Linked DNA regions of Schizosaccharomyces pombe. The protein of the gene in region 4 interacts with the protein of the main gene of each other region in a pairwise test. Each region holds a gene or a part of one and is shown on either strand. Other genes may lie near its edges. The genes, in order: mss51, spg4, pwp1 and pil1.

Region 1 (4,070 bases), on a different chromosome or scaffold from region 4:
GTCGTTACGAACATGGATTTATGAGTATGATTCCTGTAGGTGCAACCAATGTGGGTAGCATTGTCATTAATTGTGATCCTACTTTATCTACCAATCGCCTCGTCTTACGGAAGAAGTCATTAGGTACGTTTCAAGAAGCAGTTTACAAGAACGCTTCTCCTGTTTTAGACGGTATGCCAGTTAGTCGTGGCGAACAAGTTGGTGGGTTTCAACTCGGAAGTACCGTTGTTTTGGTATTCGAAGCACCTGCCGACTTTGAGTTTTCCACTTATCAAGGCCAATATGTTCGTGTTGGAGAGGCCCTCTAAACAGGATAAATCGGGATAATTTTTATTAATCGCTGGATTATCCCTGATATAAGTTATTGTTAGTATGAGAATGTGTGTATTCTAAATAATCATTTGTATGTGATGAATTAATTAAATTAACCCATTTGCTTTTGATCTTCTTTTTATTTAAATTGATATTGCGTTTATAAACCCATAATTATAGTTACTATTTACTTAATTACATTCCAATTTAAAGAATTGACACCCAATAAATTTATTTTATTGATACACCTTTAAAGTAGTAATGAAAATGTTTAAAAATAAGTATGGTTAGCTTGTTTTGACATAAGGTGGCATGTCTTCTTTTCAAAATTCGTAATTGATAATCATTACATATATACTAATATTTTGTTTATTCACAATCCAAAATTTGGACCTTAAAATTCATTAATAGATTGCTTTTAGATTAGAATATGAAATTGGAAGATGGTAGACGACTTAACGGACAAGAATTACTCTTTGGAAACATTTTGGACATTATAATAAAGGGCTCTGAATCCAAATACTTCTTGATTTGCGTGATAAACTTCATGAAGGTTTGAATCATCAACAGACCAGCCTAAGCTGGCAAATTTATTAACAGTTGGCAATAACAAGGGCTCAATTGAATCTTTCAAAACATTATTAAGAACTTCCAAATCTTTGGTTGTTCTTTGAGATGAAGGACTTGTGAGCCATACAGAGCAACGAGTCGATACCAAATCGTGAAGTGTCGGAATCCACGATGAAGAATAAAGTGGATGACTTATAAGAGGCATCGGAAGAAAAAAAGTATCATAGTAGGGGTCAAAAGGCTCAAAGGCTCCAACTCTATGCAAATTGTGGTAGTAATCCTGATGAAAATGAAGGCTGAGTGGGGAAGGCAAATTGGGTTGCTTAGAAGGAACAACAACTTCAGGTCCGATAAAATGCAATTGAAATAAACGACCTGGGAACAAAAAGTTCAATCCTTGTAACCAAATTGATGGTGGTAATGAACATTCTTTGGTAGCACCCAAAACGAAAATTCTAGTGGGTCTGGGATCAGTAGATTGAGCAGACAAAGGACGATGAAGCATATATCGTAGAGCAGTTAATGATTGTAGACCCTGGGGAGTTAACCCATTTTTTAAATTATAAGGAGAATTCTTGTGAAGGATAGCGCCGATTGACATGGGATATGTTAATAAACTAGTAATATGTCTAGCAGTTCTAGACGATTGGAACTTTGGGAAATCGCGGGTATAGAAGAATGAATCCCATGACAGAAGAGAAACTACTTCATCTTCTTCCATGGGTCCAGGAAGTTTGAGTAGTTCCGGCAAAGGGTTTGGTCGTGCTAAGTCATGATAGTCTTCATTAATTTGGCGTAGTTTTGGGATAAGGGATTGGTGAATCTTGTCCTGTTCCCAATGAGTTCTATTACAATGAGTAGGAAATCCAGATTCAGGACACTCATATTCCACTGACTTTCCCGAAATTGGACACCGATAGACTTGTTTGATATGCTCAGAGCGACGGCGAAGAGCCGTTAAGGGAGAACGCGATAAAGGATGGAATAATTCATGAGTTGGGGATTTCTTCTTGAAGAGATTTTTTAAAAACGACATAAGTAAAAAAAATATAAGCGAAACGTCACTCTTGAACCAAAAAACAACCTTCTACCGGTTTCAATGTAACTATAGGTAATGAAATAAATTTTTATGTCGGTGTTGCAGCTAAATTTAACAAGTATTGATTTAGGTGAACGTGTTTAGTAGCAGACGAAGAAACTAAAATTAAAAATGTCAAGGAACATAAAAAATACGTTAACAAGGCAAACTATTGAAATGCTTAGTAAAAAAAATTAACAAATTAGTTCGTAGAAGCAATTGCTTTGTTCATTAGCAACCGACATTCAGTAGCGAATTTTATTCTTTAAAAAAATATTAAGTATTGAGTTGACTCAACAAAGAGGTGATTTTCAATAATGTTGATATTAAAGAACTATCTAGTAAATCAATTGCATAACGGGAAATGCACTTTCTTTATTGGAAGTCTACAATGCAACTATAAGGAATACGAATCATCTCGAAAGTAGCTGTGTTAATCTAAGCTTCTATAATTTTCATTGCTCGTAATGTAAAGTGAACTCAATATTTTAGTAACAGTTCCAGCTGGCCCAACAAGACTGCAAACTGACCATACAGAATCCCAAAGCTGTTGTACTAATGAGCAACTAAAAATATATCTGATAAATTCTCAATGTTACATAGATGATTTATAACTTTACTGCGAAAATGTCTGCCTCTTATGACAAGCAAGTCATTAATTATCAGAGCCTTGCGAACCTATTCGTCTGCCACCTGACCTCGTCAAAGGCAGTAATTAAATTGGCAATATAATTCAGGCAAGATTTTTCAATTTTCTAAAATCCTTCGAATGCCCGCCTCCAAATATGCTGGATGGTCTCGAGACCAGCTAATATCCAGAATTTTAGAATTGGACGGGAAATTGCAAAAAAATACAAATTCACTTCCCAATAAAGAAATTGAGGGGAAAAATGAAGTAATTAAAAATAAAAACAAATTGGATAATGGAAATGAAATAGAACCCCAGCATCTGAGCCAAGAACTAGTTTTGCAACATGCGCTTCAGGACGCAAGTAGTCTTCCAAAACTGAAACCTGTCAGACCGTTTCAACTAGAAAAAACAGTTTTTGTTGCTTTTAAATTTGCCTATTGTGGTTGGAATTACAATGGTCTTGCCTACCAGTTAGAACCGACTCCTTTGCCCACTGTTGAAGGAAAGGTGTTTGAAGCGCTGTTGAGAGCTCATCTCATCACTGATCCTTCATCATGTTCCTTTAGTCGATGTGGACGTACTGATAAGGGAGTTTCAGCCATGGGTCAGGTTATATCATTAAATGTACGACATTCAGAAAGAAGACCTATCATATATTGTGATGTATTGAATCGCCTGTTGCCCGCAGATATACGTATTACTGGCTATGCATTTCCACCAGAAGGCTTTGATGCTCGATTTTCCTGTAAACAGCGTCATTATAAATACTTGTTTACTAAGGATTATCCCGGTGGTTCTCTTGACATTGATCGAATGAATGAAGCCGCAGCACTTTATCTAGGTGAGCATGACTTTCGAAATTTTTGCAAAATAGATGCTTCTAAACAAATTACAAATTATCACCGTCGAATTCTCAGTTCAAAGGTTATTTGCATTGATCCCAGTACCGGTCTTTACGCTTTTGACCTACAAGGAACTGCATTTTTATGGCATCAGGTACGATGTATGATGGCCATTCTATTTTTAATTGGTCAAAAGCTTGAGCCGGCCTCTCTCATCAATGATCTTTTGGATATTAAAAAGGTCCCTACTAAGCCAATTTATGATATGGCAAGTGAGTATCCTTTGATTTTGTACGACTGTGACTTTGATAATATTGAATGGACACTACCTACGGATAGTCCTACGACTGCTCCTCGTATCGCTAAACATACATATGAAACCATATATCATCAGTGGCATAGTCTACGTATTCGAGAGCAGATAGCTTCGTTTATGCTTGACATAGCAGATCATAATGTAAAAAGATATGGCAAATCGGAAGAGTCAAGCAGTACTATGAACGTTGGTGAAGGATTGCTGAAGCGAACAAAAAAGTACATCCCAATTCTTTCTAGACAACGTCAGGAATCAGTGGAGGTCGTCAATGAAAGATATAAACGTAAAAAAGGTTTAAAAGACAGTGACGTGAAGAGTGAA
Region 2 (5,296 bases), on a different chromosome or scaffold from region 4:
TTTAAAAGTAACGTTCAATTGGATCGATTCAACGTTACAATTTAAATAGACAATGATTTACTAGTCGCATGAAACCCACCCTCTATGAAGCAAACTTACCTTCGATAATCCATTCGGAAGATTCAAAATCTCACAATTAAGAACATTGCCAACTTGTCCCATAAACTCTTTCAACTCAAACCAACGAACTTGATATGACAAATTACCAACATACACGCGACGCTCTTGTTGAGTGTACTTTTGGCCATTTCCCAAGTGAGGGTCTCTTTCAGTGTGCTCTCCATCAAAATGCAAGCCACGTTTCAATGAATTGCTTCCGTTGACATGTCGCTTCGGAGACTCCGATCTGTCACGATCCATATTGGAAGACGATGAATTCAAGGAACTTGACACATCCAACTTACTACCCATTCCTGAATCAAATTCATTCTATTTGATCAGCTAAATCAATCAATAGTTATCATACCCATTCTATAGGTTTAGGCATCGCAAGAGCATAAGCTGAGTGTGCATCTTCACATAATTAAAGCATCCCAACAACTTGACTTCTATAGTGTAACTGCAATATAATTTCGTAAGTGATATACTGTAAACTCTTAGATTCGCTAAAAGAACAATAGAATAAAAAAACTGTAAACATTTAAATTATAAATATTGACATGTACTGACTAATTAATCATAGTAAGGAGTTTTAGTTGTTTGTAAATGAGTCGTAATAAAAATGGAAACTCAAACAATAACTAGGGTTAGAGATAACCTCAGTTAATATTAAGTGTTTGAAAAATTCAAAGACTGTGCATAAATTGTATCAACAAAAAAGAGACAAACGAATATATTAGGAGTAAACAAAAAGGCTTTTGGTACAGCACCATTATTATCATCATGAATAATTCCTTGAGGCAAAAGTTGTCCTTATTAGTTATAATCATAAGTTTGCACAAGCCATGTATTAAAAGACAATAAATAAATTTTCAACGTGATTACCAAAAAAATCGGTATCAGGCTAGGAATTTTAAATAAGAAGACAGACTCAATGCCCTTGGGATCCGAACTCTTTGTCCCATTCTGAATATCGTTCCAGCCCTTGCAAGTTCACACTAGGCCGGATTACCTTGATACTAGTTTTAAAGTCATCTAAATTAATCGGCCTAATCGACTCCATTTTCGTGAATAGCAAAGACTCACCTAAACTTCGCAAAGGCCCCATAGCTGCGTCTTTTGCCAATGCTGTCAAATCAGAGCCAGAGTAATATTCGGTTGCTTTCACAATAGCCTCAATATCCTCTAAGGAAAGAGAATGCTTCTGATATTTTAAAAGGTTATTTAAATGTAAGCGACGAGTGGTCTCATCAGGGAGGGGAATGTAGGTACGACGGACAAATCGTCTACGAGCAGCATCGTCGATACACCAAGGCAAATTGGTAGCGGCAAGCACTAGAACTCTTGGGTGATCGGCGGTTTGTCGAGATGCAGCTGCTCTTGCAAGCGAAGACCACTGAATTAAGAATTCTGTTTTTATTCTTCTCGATGTTTCATGCTCATTTCCATCACTGCTTCTAGCAGAAAGCAGTGAATCAATTTCGTCAACAAAAATGATGCTTGGAGACAGCTTTTTTGCTAAAGTGAAGAGAGCACGAACAAGTTTTTCGGATTCACCCAAAAACTTGGATGTTAAACTAGAAGCTGAAATAGAAAAAAAGACAGAACGGGATTCAGTAGCAACAGCTCGCGCAAGCATTGTCTTACCAGTTCCTGGAGGCCCAAAAAGAAGCATCCCCCTAGCTGGTTCCCGCAAGCCTTGGAACAAATCTGGACGCAAGAACGGATACACCACTGCCTCTTTTAAAGAGTGCTTAGCAAATTCTAACCCAGAAATATCATCCCAATGAACTTCATCACCCGAAACCACGATTTCTCGAAGTATACTCTTACCAAGCTCTTCGTCGATGTCTGGACATTCACGCAGAATTTGTTCTTGCTTTTCAGAAGTCATTGCAGAGATAGATGTGGATTGAAACTGCTTTTCAATAATCTCTTCTTCGTTTGTGTGGTTGAAAAATTCATCGCCATCAACCGGCGAATCTTTCTCTTCACAGGAAGAAAGCCCCTGTTCGGAAGCTGGATAGAGATCACTCAGAAAAGGGTTGTTCACAGATAAACGTGGCGGTGTAAGGAAATCCAGATCTTGCGCAGTTTCAGTGGAAGCAGATTGAGCTCGTGGAGCTGACTGAGGAGTGGGAGATGGCGATTTTGTAACTGACGAAACAGAAGCGAGAGATGGCGCGACGGTTGCGATTGAGGTAGATGACTTTGATAACTGTTTTGATATAGAAGGTACTTCAGTGGTACGATTAGGGAGATGGGATTGCGTTTTCTTTTTGAAGGGTGAGGAAGAGGAGGAAATAGAAGAGTAAGTTCGGCGGGCAGCTTCAATAACGGCGGAGTTATCGGGAGTTGGACGATGACGCTCAACCTGAAACGATGATCGAGATGCCTGCGCTGCTTCCGATGATATGTATGATGGCGGGAGAGCATGCTTAGGCTTAGATGAATTCAAAGATCCCCAAGCCAATAGAGCTGCTCGATTGGCATTGTTCTGGGTAGAGACTTCAGCTGGAAGTCCAGTCCTAGCAAGCGATTTACTTGGAGGAAGCACTGATTTACTCTTGACACTGGCCTTTTTAGCAGATTTAACAGCGCTATGTGTTTCTAGTTCACCAGCGCCTTTACGCAACGAAGTCCGCGAAGCTGTAGGTGAAGAGGACATAGATGTTCGCGGAATATTAGGTTTTAAGGATGCCGTTGTCACTTTAGATTGTAAAGGAGCTGTTCTATTTTGACGCTCAAAAGAAGACGCACTATAGTTACCATCATCGATAAATGAGCGATCGCCAGGACCATTTCCACTTATATAAGCAACATTAGCGCTACCAGTAGAAGATTGTGTTACAAGTGACTTTTGTGTATTTTGAATATCCTTATAAGCAGCTTCTTGTTGCGCAATCTCTTTGGTAAGGAACTCAATTCGAATGGTCAACTGCTCCAACATGCAGAGTAATGTTTCCACATAATGTCTATCTTCATAATCCATCACGTGTAAGCGTTCCCTCGCATACTTAAACTCTGGATTCATGAGAATGTTCCGCTTGGCCTTTTGAAATAAAGCGATAGCCTCCACATAGTCAGCAGTCTGCTCTTTATGAATTGCAACGGCGGCATATGACTGTGTGACGTTATAGCAGTCTTCAAGGCTCATTTTTGTGCATTCTTTAACGTCTACAACTGATTAAAAACAATTACCTTTCAATGGAAAGAGGTTAAATCGGCTCGATTGGAAACGTTATTCTCTTTCTATATTGGCTGAAGTGCACAAACTACACTTCTCCTTTTATATCCTATTACCTTATTAAATATTGTTTTCGTACAAGCAGAATGCGGCATGCAAATACAAATCGTAGATATAGTGATACAAAGTTAAAGATAAAATTTCTCACTAAAACCACGATTTTGTCGGAAAACTTGATAAAGTCTACAAAAATAAATACAAAACTAGCAACAGCACTAATTATATGCGTGAATAGAAGTTCTATGATATACGCACTGTGCTTGTTGAGTTTTAAATCTTTACGGTTGGTTTTGGTGTAGCGAAGAATAATGATGGGTAAATGACGCATCTTCATCATTTACACAAAAAAACTCTTTTTGCTATATGAGAATTGAAAATTAGTTTACTTACAATAAATAATACCTTTAAAACCATTTCACTATTAATCTTAATATTTGCTTGGTCCAACTCCGTTCACCAGTCCAGCATATTCTCATCCTTACTTATAAGATATATTAGTCACAATCTTCCACGTGTATCCCAAAAAAAATGTATAAAAATAATATTAATTGAATGTTACAGGATTTTTAAGGTTAAATAACAAAACATTTATTCTTTTTGCCATCATGTTCAATATAAAACCAAAGGAAATTACAAAGAACAACACTTCATAAAAAAATTGTCGAATACTTGTCTAACAAATTTCCATCATCAGCAAATACTCAAACCACCATAAGCTGATTGGAATTTCTGCATATAAAAAAATCATTAAAGAACGTTGCATTATATCATGTATTGTGAATTCATCTCAATAAAAAAAGTGCCAGTATAAACAACATCCTTTGTATCGTAAACTGCTAACTCATCGAATATATATGACCAAATGATTTAATTGCTTTGAGAATGAAATTATAGAAGTAAAAGTGTAAAAGTGCAACAACTTGATTAATGGGAAAACAAACCAATAGTGTTGCTAATGCACTCTTACGAGCTAGAATTCATCGACAGCACTTGAGCAGACTTGGTTCGTAAAATCGGATTCGTTCTTCTGGGGTGAGGGTGGCTGTAGTGTTGAATGCGTTGCAACTCACCGACAAAGCTTTGACCCCAGAATTGACTGGTATACTTATTAACATATCGGAATAATTTATTCTCATTAGCCTCACGTTGTTTCTCCGGCATAGTGAGGGCATCATGAATGGAGTTTGCTAATTCCTCCGTGTTCCATGGATTAATTACAATACTACCATTGAGTGACTGGGCAGCACCGGCAAATTCACTAAGAATTAGGGCACCATGTCTCTCTTGTTGAGTGCAAATGTACTCGTATGAAACAAGATTCATACCATCACGAGTTGAGGTAATTAAACAAACGTCTGAAACGTTATACAGAGCAACCAGCTCTTCAAAGCGAACACTTTTATGTAAGAAATGAATAGGTGTATATTCAACAGTACCAAAACGACCGTTAATACGGCCAACAAGCTCATTGACAACGGCTCTAAGATTCTGATACTCTTCGACATCTTGACGAGAAGGAACGGCAACTTGAACCAACACGACCTTTCCAACCCATTCAGGGTATTGTTCTAAGAACACTTCAAAGGCATGGAATTTTTGGGGAACACCCTTAATGTAGTCCAAACGATCGACACCCACAATCACCTTAACGCCTTGTAGTCTACGTTCGATGCTTGCAATGCGATCCTTTACCACGTCAGACTTCAGAGCATCAGAGAACTTTTCGGGATCAATACCGATGGGGAAGGTGCCGACGCTGACCATTTGACCATTGTATTCCACACCGTTAGGTAGTGTGCTAAGATTAAGGATACGAGAGCATGCAGACAAAAAGTGACGGGCATAGTCGTAGGTATGGAAGCCAACGAGATCACAGTTGAGTACACCTTCAAGGATTTCGTTTCTAACGGGTAAAACACGATAGATTTCGCTACTTGGGAAAGGAGTGTG
Region 3 (4,363 bases), on a different chromosome or scaffold from region 4:
TATCTTTAGAAATCCCCAAATTTGTCTCTAAACCAATTATAGATTTGCATAAATCGTAAATAAGGACGCTGTCATTATCGGAAAATCGTCCAAATGTATGTAATGCATTAGAAAACTCGGTGCTGGACGAGCTACCCTTGGCAATTGTCAAAACTCGACTGGCAAGCGATGTAGCTGCATCTTTACTGGACATATAATCAGTTAATTTATCTATTAACTTCGTAAATAGCAAATCATTTTGATTATGTGAAAGCATACCTACTAAATCAATAAGGTTGCTGGCGGAAGGCGAACTTACTCAGACCCTCCGGCCCCCCAAAGGTGCAAAATCATGAACCTGAGTAATTGACAATTAACAATTTATCAGTACTTCAATGTTTAAATAAAAATTGTCATATGAATTAAAAGAATTGTTAGGCAAAATTTACCAAGTAACGGTAAACCCAATATACACTTAATGCATACATTTGCTACTCCACTAATGTGGATGAATTTACTAAAGTTTAAAGACCATCATACACCAAATCAAATGAAATTTATTGTAACTAACCTGATCCCTTTTTTCCAAATATTGAATTATGCAAAAAATCCTCTATACAATTAGTGAGCCCTTTAAACCCATGAAGCGGCCTCTTAGGAGAGTTTTTGAAAACATGAAGCTATAATCTTAAAATAAATCAAGAGAATTAGGACATCTCAGCATCTTGATCATCATCGTCTTCTATATCTTCATAGTCATCATCATCAGAAGAGTCCTCCCCGGCACCTCTGTCTTCTAACTGAACGATGCGCTCTTTTTTAGTAACTTCCTCAGTAACTCTACTTTCAAACGCTTTTCGAACACCAGGATTAGTTGCAGTGTCCCAGACACGAACGACTCCTTTGCTTCCGGAGGCAGCTAGATGGAAAGCAGTTGATTCGTCCGTAGTAAAGGAGCAAGTAAACACACGTCCAACATCCAAATCTCTAGAAACAACCATCTTCGGTGAACTATCGGAAGTGTTCCAGAGTTTAACCACTCTATCAGTGGAGCCTGTGGCTACAAAAGAAGGAACCGAAGGATTAACACTGAGACAAGAAATAGGTCCATCATGGGCTTGCAATTGCCAAACGGACTTTGAGAGATTTCTAGCATCGCAATAATAAACTATGCCATTATCAGTGCCAATGAAAAAGTTGTTTTCGCTATGTTGATCCCAGGCAACATTTTCAACATCGCTAGTAACTTGAAAACTCGATGGAGCTTCTTCAAGGCGAAGGTCAGCTATTTTTGCAGTTTTATCATAACTACCTGACAATAATACGGATGGAGCTTTGGAATACCAATCTAAGCAAGAAACTTTGTCAGAATGATACGTGAAAGATTTGACACAATTGCATGTGCTCAAATCCCACAACTTTAGTGTGGTATCTGCAGAACCAGAAACCAAAAGATTGTGAGCATTTCGGTTCGAAGAAAGAGCAAGAACAGCATCTGTGTGATAACTATCATTTATTTTTTTAGACTTCTTCTTTTTCTTGTTGACTTGAGAGGCACCTGCACCCAACACGGCTGCAGGGTAAACTGCATCAATGATGTCTAAATCCCATATTTCAATTTCAGGATCAAACGTGCCGACAGCAACGTAATTTCCAGGAGCGTTGTCAGACGTACCCACCTTATAATCTAGCCATTCGAGACACAGAGGAAAGGTAGGGAGAAGAAAATCATGATGCACGTAAAGATTTTCCTCTGTTGGCTCATATACATACACTTCAACGTGGGACAAGTTATCTTCTGTGCGCGCAGCTAGCAAAAGGCTGTCTGTTGGTAATATTTGCATTTCCTCTCTTTCCAAATCGTCCTGTTCCTGAGGATCAATAGTGATATATGGATCTTTTTCTCCATTTTCATGGTAAGCCAATCCACGAATGTTGCTAAACATAGCAGCGGGCCCTTCTGTCTCAGCTTCCTCCTCATCGTCATCGTAAGTATCCAAATTGTATACTTTCAATTCATCATCTACCTCTTCACTTGTTTGCAACACCCCTTCTGCTCCATCTGTAGTTTCTTCACCGTTCCCATTGGCTTTATTTGAGTCTTCCATAGAAGATTGGAGATCAGCTCGAGCATCCTCGAGCTTTAACTTTGAAAGCTGATTAATTCGCTCATACTCTATCTCATCAATATCGTAACTCTTGGGAAACTCTGATGCATAACCGCGAGGAACAAAAGCCACAGACGAGACTATTGACATGTTGCACCTCTCTTAATATTTACTCCGCAAATCTTTACTTTAATGTTTAAACCAGAAAACACACCACTCTTGATCTAAACGAGATTAAAAATTTAAAGATTAAGTAAATGTCAACGTATTGATACGAGTAAATAATGGCATAAATCGTGCACCGCTACTTGGGAAAAGAAGAACTGAAAATATTCGTGTCTTACAAAAAACGTTATTTAACCGTTTAGCGTAAACCTGCGTTAAATTAGATTTCAAAACTTAAGAAAACATTTTTCTTCGACCAAAAGGCCATAACGTTCATGTAGATAAACTAAATGCGTTAACTTAATTTACGTCAACAAGTATTTTTACTCATCGTAAATTCAAGTTAATGTCAGTTACGCAATTTGGTATCTGTTTAATGATACATTGAACTACGGCGAGTATTTCTTACGAGCTACGATGTAACGGTATGCGGTATGTTAAACTAACTAACATGTAAGCTACGCAGTTTGGTATCTGATTTAAGGATACGTAGAACTGCGGTGAGTTTTCCTTGTGATCTATTATATTACAATACACAGGTTGTATAAGTAGCAACTGAGAATAGGTATTGTATTAACTGGGTTATAATGTTACCTATCACTAATATAGCTCATAACTGAACCTCGTTCCTCAGTTCAGCAGTAGCTCTATTTATATTATTCAGATAATATAGATCTTAATAGATCATCATTAAGATCAATCTCAATATCGTATCATACATGGTACGATATATAATTAGAACATGTGACATATAGTGATACGCAAGTAGTGTATCATAGCGTAGTGTAGTATTGCTGACATAACAATATTTATTTGAGAAATCTAATAGCATCGGTCACTAAATTTTTTAGTCTTTCTAATATTTGTATTTGTTCTCACTGGTGTCTAAGTAAAATTAATGGATCTTAAAATTTGTTTCCAACATATAAAATCAGTCGCACGCAACACAGTGTAAACACTTCTAACAGTACGTTGCATAAGAATACTAAGTTGAGTGAATTAAAAGGGCGGTAACAATATGAGTGTCAGAAGCATCACATTAAGATGGAGTTTGGAATTTTTGGTTTTTACTTAACTTTTAAATGATTTCAAGATTGAATAAACACAAAACAATACTTTGAATTTTATTAATTAATTTTATTGAATTTTTATATGGAGAAAAATTGCAATACTAGCTTCGTTAGAAAGTTTGTACGATAAATGCTACGGACGTATATTTGTGTATTGCCTGCTGTTTTCGTTTAATGTTGCAAAGAACACAAGTCAACTAATTTGCCGCAGCTCTAACTGCTGTAATCTATAAAGTTCGCTATACAACAAACGAACACAAGGAAACAAATAGTCACCTATAATTTTCTCTTCTTAAATTAGTCTTAATTTTTGGACTGAAACTTAAACAGTAAAACGAATAGCTTATAATATGAAAAGTTGTTTTAGAAGGGCAAAATGTTAGAAAAAGTTATCGATTACACAACAATAGGAAACTACCCTTTTACTATGATTTTGAGCAAAACCAGTAAACCAATCCATAAATCACAATATGTAGCTTTATTCATGCTTTTATCTTTTTTTTTTAACGAAAGCTTATGTTTAATAAGCTCGACTCTCGTATAGTTGATAAAAGCCGTCACGTTGTTTCGAAGCTATAAATTTGGCAAACCGCTAAACGTACGTAGTGCCATCAACGCTGAAAACAGCTATATTAGTGCATATAGATAATTTCGTAAAAATCTTTGAAGTTTTTTAAAAAGGACTGTCTATAAAAAATTTCAACTAGGTAGGTATTCAAAAATGAAAGAAACTGAAAATTCCTTGAATTCTATTGTGATGACAAAAGAAGAAGCTTAACATTTTATATAGGAAGTGCCGTCTGAGAGTTCTGCTCGGTGACCAAGCTAATTCATTCTGAGAAATCTTTGTAAACTCAAGGGGTTTTAGTATTCAATCATTTGGGCTTTCATAAGTCTATCAACAGTTTTTGCTCATTGCATACTAACAGCGTTTAGGCAAGTTTAATATGTGCTGAAAGTGAATATATTGCATCGCTCACTATGAAAAAACGGTTTGATTGGTGTTTAATTTTAATTGATATCATAGAAAAGCTTTTAAAT
Region 4 (4,747 bases):
TAAAAGTAAAACAATAATTTTGGAAAGGCGTTAATAATTTACCTTGTTTTCTCTTTTTTCGACATTGACTCCTCTTCTAAAGTATTCGCTTATTACTCCTAATTCTGCTCCTCCTAATACATCGATTCCTACTACTTGCATTGCTAATTCTAATAATTACTTCTTAATAATAATAACATACTAACTAACTTCCAACTCATAATACACTTTACTATTCTACCCTTGCAATTTACCCATCTCGCCTTCCATCTTTTCTCAATCATATTATGGTTTCTTATTCTCAAGATTAATCAAATCTACCTACCTCAAAAAGAAAAAAAAAGGCTCTTTGCAACGAAGTACATCATCCTTCACGTGCAAAAGACTAGCCAAGCTGGCACAAATATCCATCATACTACCAACAAAATAATAGCTACGCTAAACCCACTAAAAGCAAAACACACTTTCTTCAAATTCCCCCTCTCACACCACCAGCCAGCCAAGCCAAGCCAGTCTAGAGTCTTTTTCTTCCTCCGATAGCAATAGCAGCAACATATAAAAACAAATAAAATAATAATTATAATAAAAGGTATAATAATAAAATAATTGCGACATCTCCGCCTTATAATAACTATGTAAAAATTGAACAGTTTCTTAGCTATGAGCAAACTAGGGTTTCCGTCTAACATGCTCTCCTTCGCGCACGCCAGCTTATTAAATTAAGTTTTCTTTCAGCTCATACCTGTCACTGACGAAAAAAATAAACCAATCAAACTCTCGGTCGATTGAATTCTCAAAGCAACATATATCCACGATTGTAATAAAATAAAATAAAAGGAAAAAGGGGAGAAAAAAAGACAGTTTAAAAAATTTTTTTTCCATGGATAACAAAAACACAACCAACAAATATTGAAAACTTTTGACGTTTTTTTAACCCCTTTCATTCAATCAAACAAATCTTTCTCTATTCCGTCCACAAAGGGAATATAGATAGATAGATAGATAGATACCACCACACCTTCAACAAACTTTTATCCGTCCGCATCATTTTTTCATAACTCTTTATAAAAAACGAGAGGTGTGGAATTTGCAATGCCTTTAGCCTGTCTTTTTTTTTAAACGCCAATTTCGTCGAAGCAATTCAATCATACACCACCTTCCTTCTTCCTTCTATGACAAAAGAAAAGAGAGAAAGGAACCAGATGACACATACAATTATTCTTTAATAAAGAAAATAAATTATGACCAAACAAGGACCTGGGGAAAAGAGTAGTAAAAAAGAGTCGACAAACGAAGGAAGAATATCATAAACCCATTATCGTTTGTCAGTAACGATTGTTTCTGGGATCATCAATCCATCCAAAAAGGAAAAAGTCACGAAAAAGCCCAAATGGGATTACGATAAGCTTTCAAGAAATTTCTTTTTTATTTTCGCTTGACACTGCAATTTCCCTCTCCACGACGACAAATAGAAAAAAAGTAAAGAGTTTTTTTAAGCAACCTGGACGGCGGTTTGCTGAGGAACGGCATCGCTAGACTCAGAAGCAATGCGAGACATACGCTCAGCATGGACATGAGGGTGCATGCCAGGCTCGTTCTCAATGATCTCGCTAGTGTCGGATTGAACGTCGTCTTGTAAGTGGGTGACTTGCTCAACGGGGACGGGCTCACCTTGAGCCTCATACTCGTTCCAGGAACGAGCGTCACTTTGGGCATCATCCTCGATTTGAGGCTTGACAAAGTTGACGGCGGGTTGGCTGGGAACCCAAGAGCTCAAGGCGTGCTCAGCATCCATGACGATTTGGCGGGAAGTCTCATAACCATCGTAGGCAGGACGAGCCTCACCGGGAGTGACGGGGGTGTCGTCAATCAAGTTCAACAAATGTCTGCCATAGGTGGCAATGAGGTTGAGCTTCTCGGCATGCTCGTGGAGGGCATCCAAGTTGAAGGTCATGGCTTGCTTGAACTTTTCACGGGTGGTGTTGGAAAGTTGAGCCTCGGCAACCAAACAGGCAGCCTCCTCACGAACAAGCTCTTGCTCCATGGTGACCAAGCGAGGGGATTCAGGATCCTTATGCTTAAGAGCATAGATTTGATCCAAGAGCTTTTGCTTCTTCTCACGAGAGGGTTGGACAGAGGACTCGATGTTACGGATGGACTTCAACGTCATACGGTATTGGTCATAACGATCGATCAAGTAGTTCTCCAACTCGGCCATCTCGTAAAACAAGACACCCAATTTGTCGGTGACGTCGCTGATATCGTCATCGCAGTCCTCACCCCAGTAGGAAAGTTGGCGAGCACAATCACGACGGCCACGGATGGTGACCTCCATACTGCGCATCACGTTCTTTTCCATCTTGACCAAGACAGCCAAACGCTTAGCCAAGTCAGGGGTGAAGGTGGCAGCGTGGTTGATACGCATGGTATGACTCAAGGGGGCAAACAAACGACCACTACGAGTGGAAGAGGAGGGAGGAGGGGGGTTTAACAATTGTGAGGCCGTAGGGGCACGGCTGTTTCTTAAAGAGTACGCACGGTTCATCATCTTGCAGAAATAGAAATAGATGTGGGTAAATAAGAAGAGATGGTAGTAATAATAAAAATAAGTGGTAGTAGTAGTAGTATATTAGTATGTGATGATACTAATAAGAACAATTATAGTGAGAATAATTTAGTAGAGAGAGGACGAGTTATAAGTAAAAAAAAAAGAGTAGGACGAAAAATGTTTAACACTTTACCAAAGGGCGATACGAAATTTCGTGGGTATATAGTTAAATAGGATAGATAGTTAGATAGAGAGAGTGTGTATAAAAAAAGCCCAAAAATAAAAAAATTTGTCGACTATATGAAAAAATGGAAAGGAGTCGGGATTTTTTTTTGGGGAAAGGGAAAAACGAGGAAATTTTCCTTTTGGATTTCTTTCAAATTCACTTAGCTTAGCTTAACTTTTGCTTAGCGGCTATTCTCTGGGTATAACAAAAATGTGATGGGGTATATATAAAAAAAAAAAAGATTATATATATATATATATCCCAAGGTATGTTATATCCTATGGTATGAGAAAGGATACTATAATAAAGTATAGTATAGTTAAAGGATAAAAAAGAAAAGAAAGTTTTGACTAAAGTCAATGAAAACGTGAGTATGGATAAAGGTGTATCGGTAAATGAGCGAGCCAGTCTATATATACAAAGCTAAGGTGGGAAAATGATATCATCACTTGCCGTAGTGAACAAGAGTAGGTAAACATCATTTGGTCAGCTTGCTGGCCACAGTTGCCATAGATATGTCCATTCCTTCTATCACGTAAACATGACGTTCCCATTCGCGATAATATAAAACCGAATTTCTTTCTGGATAGCGATGTTGACCAATGCGTTTGGCGCACCGCGTTAACTGGAGCTGAAGGGGGAGGGGAGGGGGGCAGCGAGTGTTGAAGGGCCGATGGGGTAAACAAACGCGTCGTCGTTGTGAAAGAAAGAAAGAGAGTGAAAAGAATGAATAGGCCGGGGAGTGGTAGGATGTGGTAAAGAGAGAAGAGGGAGAAGTGACGATGGGTGTGTTGAAGAAGGATAGAGCAGAGGAAGGCAAAGTGGGTAAAAAGGAAATAGAGTAGAGAAATGAATAGAGATAGAGGGGATAAAACGGAGGAGGATAGGACAGAGGAGAATGGGATAGGATAGGATAGTGTAGAGGAGGATGGAGTAGCTTAGGATAGAATAGTGTAGTGTAAAGTAGAGTAGAGTAGAGTAGAGAAGAGAAAGAAAGGTAAGAGAGAGAGAGAGAGAGACAAGAGAAAAAACAAAAGATAAATGGACCGATAAAGATAAATATAGAAAGAAAGATAATATAAATGGATAAATATGGATGAAACAAAAATAAAAAAAAAGGTTAAAACAAAAGAGAATAGAATAGAGAAAAGGTAAAAGTTAGAGGCAACAAGGGTAGGTAACAAGGAACGAGGTGACAAGAAATGGAAAAGTGAGAGAGAGAAAAGAAGTAGCGAAAGAGAGTGAGTGATATTGTGAAGAAGTGAGTTGTGAGTGAAACGGGATATGAGTGTAGTAAGAATGAAGAAAAGAAAGATGAAATGAGTTCAGAAGAAATTAGATGAATTCAGAAGAAATGATTGTAAACGAGTTTAAGAAAATGCCGACGCTGACTATGAATGAGTATTAGATACTTGCAACAATTTTATCAGTTTATTCGGAAGATGAAGAGGATCGAGTGAATACGGAAATATCTATCTTTGGCAATACGGGAATGGAGCACCAAATGGAACACGGGAGTGTAACGGGCATGGCATGGCATAGCATAGCATAACATTGCATGGCACATGGCATGGCGATGTACTGATAATAGCTAGAAATGCTAGAGTAGCGACGAGAAGAGAGAAAAAAGAGCGACAAAAGGAAATAAAATAAAACGAAAGAAAATAAATAAACAAAAGAATACTCGAAATAAAATAAAACGAAATAAAATAAAATTAAACGAAATAAACAAAAGAATACCTCTATTATTTCCCTACTATTTTCCTACTAGTTCCCTTCTACTTTCACTTCCTTTTTCATGGCTCTTCTTCTCTCTCCTGCTCCTCCGACCGTCCGTACTTCTCTCCCTCTCTCAAATCTCTCTTCCCGACATATGGGAAATCTTCTTTTCCCTCCTCGCTGCCTTACTGTACTAGACTCCTGCTCTGCCGCCGCTGCCTTGCTTCCCTCCTTTCCCTACGGTGCGCGCGCACGATAACCAAACGCCGCAAGAA

Evidence for each region.
Region 1: the proteins of pil1 (region 4) and mss51 interact in a two-hybrid assay, tested with the Schizosaccharomyces pombe proteins (one large-scale study listed by BioGRID).
Region 2: the proteins of pil1 (region 4) and spg4 interact in a two-hybrid assay, tested with the Schizosaccharomyces pombe proteins (one large-scale study listed by BioGRID).
Region 3: the proteins of pil1 (region 4) and pwp1 interact in a two-hybrid assay, tested with the Schizosaccharomyces pombe proteins (one large-scale study listed by BioGRID).

Annotation. Positions count from the first base shown.
Region 1 is NC_003424.3:4,160,071-4,164,140, forward strand, and holds mss51 (splicing suppressor Mss51), read right to left. Parts: upstream 2,083-4,070; 5' UTR 1,919-2,082; coding exon 782-1,918; 3' UTR 528-781; downstream 1-527. Other genes in the region: phosphatidylserine decarboxylase Psd2, read left to right, coding at 1-308; deg1 (tRNA-pseudouridine synthase), read left to right, coding at 2,730-4,070. UniProt on the Schizosaccharomyces pombe protein: Has a dual role in the assembly of cytochrome oxidase subunit 1 (cox1). It has a regulative function on cox1 synthesis, acting as a translational activator specific for the cox1 mRNA, and it also binds to newly synthesized cox1 protein.
Region 2 is NC_003424.3:3,479,869-3,485,164, reverse strand, and holds spg4 (AAA domain-containing protein), read right to left. Parts: upstream 3,609-5,296; 5' UTR 3,257-3,608; coding exon 1,031-3,256; 3' UTR 560-1,030; downstream 1-559. Other genes in the region: hrb1 (RNA-binding and mRNA export factor), read right to left, coding at 100-429, 467-487; tps1 (alpha,alpha-trehalose-phosphate synthase (UDP-forming)), read right to left, coding at 4,310-5,296.
Region 3 is NC_003423.3:2,162,152-2,166,514, reverse strand, and holds pwp1 (WD repeat protein), read right to left. Parts: upstream 2,398-4,363; 5' UTR 2,238-2,397; coding exon 687-2,237; 3' UTR 519-686; downstream 1-518. Other genes in the region: ATP-dependent RNA helicase Prp16, read right to left, coding at 1-256; SPOM_SPBC1711.15C (uncharacterized protein), read left to right, coding at 4,304-4,363.
Region 4 is NC_003421.2:346,952-351,698, reverse strand, and holds pil1 (lipid binding protein Pil1), read right to left. Parts: upstream 3,141-4,747; 5' UTR 2,528-3,140; coding exon 1,472-2,527; 3' UTR 534-1,471; downstream 1-533. UniProt on the Schizosaccharomyces pombe protein: Negative regulator of cell wall integrity (CWI) in unstressed cells, probably by inhibiting protein kinase ksg1/ppk21 activity and regulating their downstream CWI pathways pck2-MAP kinase pathway and protein kinase gad8 pathway.